Linked DNA regions of Arabidopsis thaliana. The protein of the gene in region 2 interacts with the protein of the main gene of each other region in a pairwise test. Each region holds a gene or a part of one and is shown on either strand. Other genes may lie near its edges.

What was found. The genes of interacting proteins can lie anywhere in the genome.
Region 1: the proteins of AT3G51370 (region 2) and SAUR19 interact in a two-hybrid assay, tested with the Arabidopsis thaliana proteins (one study listed by BioGRID).

Annotation. Positions count from the first base shown.
Region 1 is NC_003076.8:5,962,158-5,965,399, forward strand, and holds SAUR19 (SAUR-like auxin-responsive protein family), read right to left. Parts: upstream 1,249-3,242; 5' UTR 1,149-1,248; coding exon 876-1,148; 3' UTR 616-875; downstream 1-615. UniProt on the Arabidopsis thaliana protein: Provide a mechanistic link between auxin and plasma membrane H(+)-ATPases (PM H(+)-ATPases, e.g.
Region 2 is NC_003074.8:19,067,111-19,070,867, reverse strand, and holds the start of AT3G51370 (Protein phosphatase 2C family protein), read right to left. Parts: upstream 1,742-3,757; 5' UTR 1,149-1,741; intron 912-1,148; 5' UTR 815-911; coding exon 502-814; exon of another isoform or gene 482-501; coding exon of another isoform or gene 424-481; coding exon 56-423; intron 1-55. UniProt on the Arabidopsis thaliana protein: May dephosphorylate and repress plasma membrane H(+)-ATPases (PM H(+)-ATPases, e.g. AHA1 and AHA2), thus influencing negatively plant growth and fitness.

The sequences.
Region 1 (3,242 bases), on a different chromosome or scaffold from region 2:
TACATTAGTACTCTAAAATACCAAAAGAAACATGCATATATGTATATTCAGCGTAACAGATACGTATCAATAAATCATTGAAGAAAGGGATCGGATCCAGTCCACATCAACCCTAACTAGTGCGTGTCTCTATAGTTTTCCTTTTTGGGCAATGTATACTTGTCTTTATTATTTGGAAGGAGAAAGCAATGTTATTTATAGAATAAAATACAAACAGAAGTTTGGAATTCAAAAGTAAATTTCTTTTCCTTTTTGCTTGACAATATCTTGAAAACTATAATCAAATGTCACTGGAGACATCAACTAAATGTAACCCCCACACTATACGTAAGAGCCAGCCACTGATAAATTGTGTAAGTTAAAAGTGGTCATTTGTTATTTGTTTCCGTCTAATTCAGAGTAGCAAACAAATACTAAAACCGGATCTGAAATTCTCGGTTAGAGTAACAAGAATCCCGAACCGGGGGTAGTGCATCAAAAGGCAAAAATTGGAAATAAGCAGGTAAAACAAAAAGATATCCGGAATAAAGTTCGGGGGATTGAACCCGACGTGAATCGAACACGCAACCTTCTGATCTGGAGTCAGACGCGCTACCATTGCGCCACGGATCCGGATGTTAGATGTTCCACTTAATTGTTTTTAATCAACATGAAACTATAATTAGAGTAGTTTTTTGATTGATGAATTTGGTGTCGTCTTTCTTTTTCAATGAGCGATCAAAAATGTATTGACATGAAGTTTGTATATAACATTAATTTTGTATTTCACTTTCTACACTTTTAGAACAACTCTTTCAAGAAGAAAGAGAAAAAAGCTCATGTATTTACAATGAATAAGTCTATTTCTAACTGAAGGAAAAAATGTTGGATCATCTTCATTGGAGCCGAGAAGTCACATTGATGAAAGTATCTTCGGGACAAGGGATCGTTAAGCCACCCATCGGATGAGCAAACCCAAACTCTTCTTCGGATTTACTGAGCAGAGCTTGAAATGACGGTTGGCTCAAGTATGAGAGCGGCACCAAATATCTCTTCTTCTGGCTCTCTCCTACGTACACCGCAAGAAACCCTTTTGGTGCCGCAGATCCTGCTGCGGTGGAGCGGCTTAGAATCTTCTTTGCTCCCAATAGACTTCTCACGAAAGCCATTTTTATTTTATTTTAAATAAAAGAAGTTTGAATTATTATGAAGCTCTTGAAGATGTATGAAAAGATTCAAGTTATTGGAATGCTTGTTGTTGGTTGATGATAGAAATAATGGGGTTATGGGTGTATATATAGAAATATCAATGAACGATTTGAAACTTCTCTGAAAAAGTCATTGAAACTGTGGTCTTGAAGCGTGGGACAGACTAGAGCAAGAGTTCACATGGTTCTGTCTTTACCATCTGGAAAAGATGCATTAATGAAATTTATCTACTTAAATAATCTCCATGTGAAATTTCACAAGGGCTTGCTTTCTCAATGTTTCTGAGATAAGACGTGCCCTATATTTGCAAGAACAAAGACAGCAGGTTCTGTGATGATTAGGTGGTTGGTTCTTTGTCCTATAGTACTCTAATCTCTGCAGTCGAAATGGATTTATTAAGAAGTTAAAGTGGGGACCTGAATGTTATTCAACAACAGAACAACAATTCAATGTCACTCTCTAGTTGTTCTTTGATTATATCCACACATGAAAACTAAAAGAGACTGAATACCTCACTTCTTCTCTTCATTTATTATACAGACATGGAGAAGACAGACCCTTGTGAAGTGATGATAATGCTCATTAGCTTCCGTTGTCAACTTGTCATCTATCATACCTAAAAAACAGAACCATGTGAAACTATCTTTGTGTATGTCTCACCCCTACTTTGAATGGTTTCAGGGTGATTTGAAGTCTTTTATCAATCTATTTATACATCCAGAGACAGAACCAACTCTTCACCAAGTAGTGAAGCAATCCAGACCTCAAAATTTTGAGCATCTAACTTTTTCTCAGAAGCTTCAAATTTAGATTTTCCAGACTCAAGAAATGGCTTTGTTCAGAGGCCTCTTGAGTTCAAAGAAGATTATCGGCTTTTCTGTAGAGGCTACAAGCAAAAGGACAGTTTCAACACCTATTTTATGTAAAACTATTATTTTATGAAAATCTATATTTGGAATATAACCAAAAATGTATATCAATATGATCCTGCATAGTAAAGACACTCACTTAATAACCAATTTTTTTTCACTTTCTCACATCTTAGAATTGATGTTTTGAGAGTTTCGTATACTACAAGAAACCCTTTTTAGCACTCCCTGAGCGAATTTAAAAGCCTCTCGGAAATCTTCTGAAACTTGTGGATGTAAGAGTGGACACATAAGAAGAGAGTTTAGATGGTTTTGTCGTCCAGATGCTAACGTGATAAATGAATGTGGATACAAAAGACGAGCAACGATAAGCTAAACTAGACTTCATGAGGGTTTGAGTTCGCTACATTTGCTTGTGGTTCTTGGTTGTGATTTCTCTGGTTGCTTTTGTCGTACGTCCTGATCTTAATATTTGAAGAAGGAGACGTGGCTCACTTGACAAATGCTAGGAACAGACCAGTCTCGGGTTTTACGGATCTTATGCAATAGTCTGCATGCAGTATCCAGTATCCACATTAATTGTTCTATAACATGTTATGATAGTAAAACCATAGGAATGATCACAAATCATGACAAGAAAAGCCTAAGGAAATCAAAGAAGCTTAATATCGCATAAGTGATTAATAGCATTGAGCCATTAATGATCTTACAACAACAAGAGTCTCTCAATGTTATTTGGGAAAACATCGAGATCATTGAGAGAATCGAGTCTGAGCCCTTTAAGTCGTCTATATAGGTCATTTGCAATTCCTTTAATTTTGGTTACTCTAATACTCTTTCTCTTTGGATCAAAATACACCACATGGAAGGATTCATACACACTCATTGGCGTATAAACAAACTCACCAGCATCAGTAACACCCTTCAAAATTAAACACGCCCATTCTTTGTCAGACAGAGGAAAATTCAAAGACATAAAGAGACATATTTCAACACCAACGGCCATGGAACAAGGCCACCTACACCATCATCTTCACAACCTTGAGCTTCTCCAAAACATTTCTCATTGGATCTCATGATAAAAAGCCAGAGAAGTAATAAGCAAATGGCTGGCAAGTTCTGTTCTTGATTGTGATTCTCTGCTTGATTTTGTCCGTTTTTGAATATGAATAAGCAAACGTGGCT
Region 2 (3,757 bases):
AGCCGTCATTTAACCATAAAATCTAATTAAATATCATTCAGATTGAGAAACATACCTGAATAAGGCCCTTAACACGCCACACATTGTGCTTTAACATGACAATATGCGAGTCATCTGGGTGCAAGGAGTGCATCTCCTGTCTAACAGACTCTATACTCACATTATGTTCAGCAGAGAGCTGAAGGGCAATAACCTCACCTGTCGCCTTCATAGCCCTTCCAAGAACTGCACGGGAATCCCCAACATTAGCTATGTAAAGCATCCCTCCGCATATAACACCCACCAAGCAGCAAGACCCAACCGCTGCAATCTGTGGCTTAGTTGGCCACTGCTTTGTCACAACCCCTAAAAAACCTTCTTCTGTCGCCTCATACGCCTTTTTAATTACATCCACCGACATAGAGGCCTGCTCTGCAGCAAATCCTGAAAATTCAAACAAGATTTTAGTTTCCGCACGGTTGGTTTGTAACCTGGTATGCATATATCATTCAGTTTCCTCACTCTTTAGATGCTGAAAAAGGTGATCATTAACAAATCGCGACGTCTCAGGCCCGCCATGGCCATCATAGATTCCAATAAAAGTTCCATAAGGACCAGAGTCAAGAGTACTCAAAGGCCCAGACTCAACTTGGCTCTGATCCTCAAGCAAGTTGTTGGCTTGAACAACAGCCATGGAGAATTCACCAACGAGGTGCTGACCAAAGTCTTTGTACCAAAGCAATCCATCTTGTTTTCCAGTTGAATCAGAGGACTTGCCCGAGGAAGAAGACGGCCACAGACAAGCACTCAAGAGTTTCATTAACGTTGATAACATCCCTCATTTCATCAAGACACCCCTTTTTTCCTCCACATCCGTCAAAGCGATGCACAGAAACAATCAAAGTCGAAAAAAGATTTAAGCTTTTAAGAATCTGCAATTCAAAACAGAATTAAAAGTAAGGATCTGAACAAAACAACAATTTTATAAGCTTAATAGAATCTGAAAACTCTCGACTTGGCTGAGCAAAAATGATATCAAAAACCCAACTTTAAACTAAAAAAACTGCAAACCCAATTGGTTAATGGATCAGATAAGCAAGAGGGAATAGTTTATTCAACAAGGATCAGATCAAAATCCAAACTTTTTCAAACTCTGAGAAAATTAGTACCTGAGAGATTCTGGAGTAGCTGATGTGTAAACAGGAAGAAGTCACTCGCAGACTTTTCACAAGTCAACTGATACACATCAAAGCAATTACAATCAGAGAAGCAATCTTATAATCCAAAAAAAGGATTTGAGGGTTTAGTGATTGAGAGAAAAGGTCGACAAATACAGGTATACGAAAAAAAGATGAAGATCTGAGAAAACAAATTGATGTAGAGAAAGAGAGAGTGATGGATCCGAATCAGATCCAGAAGAAAGAAGGAAGAAGAAGAAGTAGCGTCGACCTTCTCTCGGAGAGGAAGAAGGCAAAGGAGAAAAGAGAGAAGAGAGAAAGGAAAGGGCTCCACTGCTTCTAACCAGACAATCCAATCTCTCAAATTACTTACTGGATCAGATTTTCTAAACCTAACCCTTCTTTTCTCCTCTAATTGACTTTTCTTTCCTCTTTTTATTTACCCAAACGGTCCTTTATCTTTGTAATAACTTACAATTTATACCAAATAACTAATTCTGTTATCAATTAAACCCACAACTCCGAATTCGACGATTCCTTATAACTTGGAGAGGTAAAAAAAAAGTGTTGCAGATATAGACAAGTGTTTGTATTGGTAGATATATGTAGAAGAAAAAGATTGATAGTTAAAAAACCAAAAAAAAAAAGATATAGATAAAATGTGTGAGTGATAAGGGAGAGGGACACGTGATGAAATGAGATTAGAGAGAAAGGTTAGCTGGCGAAAGAAGACAGACATACGTGTGCAACTTCCACATCCAACTCCACCTGCACCTGACCTGCTCTTCTTTTCCCCTTCACTTCTCTCCCATGTGCCTTCCCTTTTCCTCACTTTCCTCCCATTTGCTCTCTGGCTCTTGAAAACAAAACGGGCCTTCTCTCTACTTATCACAAATTGGGCCTTTAGATATGTCTACTCGGCCTTATAACCAAGGGCAAAAAACGAGGGGGAGTAGTCAAGAACACCAACCCTACTTTCACTCTTCACCACGAAATAAAGACACCACATGTAAATTGATCACGTCTTTCTAAGTAATGTTTTGTCTGAGAATAACCAAACTTTGGCTTCACTCATCACTACACAATCCTTCAGTTTCTTCTTAAACGAACGATACATATTGTATATATAGATTTCAAACTAATTAATTACTACATTTCAGACTCCAGTTAACAAAGGATCAACATTTAAATAACTACATTGTTCTTTTGGATCGGATTAAGGGAATATAGAAAAGATGCAACATCATTCGGAAGTGAAGCAGCCTCTTTGCCCTAAGCCACGCCGTGTGTGTCATTCTCTTCCTGATTTCATCAAACCTCTCTCGTGTTCCTTACACTCCTCCACCTGGTAACATTACATGGTCTAGCTAGATTGTTTGTTTGTGTTTTTTATACATTTGGTGTAATTTGTGTTTGTGCTTTCCAAAAAGTTAAGAACATGATTCTTTTTGTTTGTAAACGTAAACACAAAAGTTTTTTTTATAACAATCGAAACTATATATCATTTTCTTCTTGTTTCTTGAAATTAATCATGATGATTCATTCATCATACATGTGTGTGCCTTAATCAGCCAACAAAGTAAGGAGGGAAGAAGCGACGTTCTCAGCATTATCGATAAGGTCGTCGTCATTCTTGCTTCTTTCATCATTTCTATTAGACATTTAATTTGTAGATTTCTTCCTTTTCAAAACAATAGTCCTTTTCATCTATTTTCTATGAAATTATCTAATTTATATATGAAAATTGGTAAAAATGTAAAATGATATATCAAAACTTAACTTTTTTGTGAGAATACTAAAACATAAACTTGTTTTAATTAATTTCTTAAAATATTTTTTCAAACTTGCATGCATGAATCGATCTTGGGTGTTATTTAAATATAAATGTTCATCGTGGTCGTAGGTGCAGCCGATAGAAGGTGGAACCATAGAGTCAATGTGGTACGTAGGGTCTCCACCAAGGAGAACCGGAAATCCTCTTGTACACGACCTTCATTTCATTCACTGCCTCCATCTTCTCCCCAATTTCTCAAGAACGAAGGCTTGATCATCACATCTTCTTAGACTAGCTACGTACCTCGTCTATACATATATATGAATGCATAGTAATTGCTTTTCAAACATTTTTTATTTTTAAAAGTTTTTCTCCAAGATATTCGTCTAATCTTCACATCTTGTACATGACTTGTGTTTCCTTTTATCTAATGTAGTTGTTCGTAGTATGTGTAAGTTCCAGAGTTCTACGTACTTTCTATCATTTTTGTTACTATAGTTTAAAATTAAAACTTATTTTCCGGAAAAAAAAAAGTTAAGAGAAAAGCAAATGATGGAATCAAGTGATTATTTTCATATCTGTTGAGATTAGAGATCAAAAGTTTATGATTCAGTCTAAGATCTACTAATTTAAAGAGAGAAACTTTTTTTTTCTCATACAATTAATTGAGATTCATCAAATATCAAAATTCAAAGCTGGCTGGATTAAGAAGAAGAATTTGATCTGGGTCCCATATATACATGACACGTGTACAAAAACTTATCAATAGTCAACGTTTCTATTTTCAAATAATTGTATCATATTTGCAATTCGATCTCTCTTATCT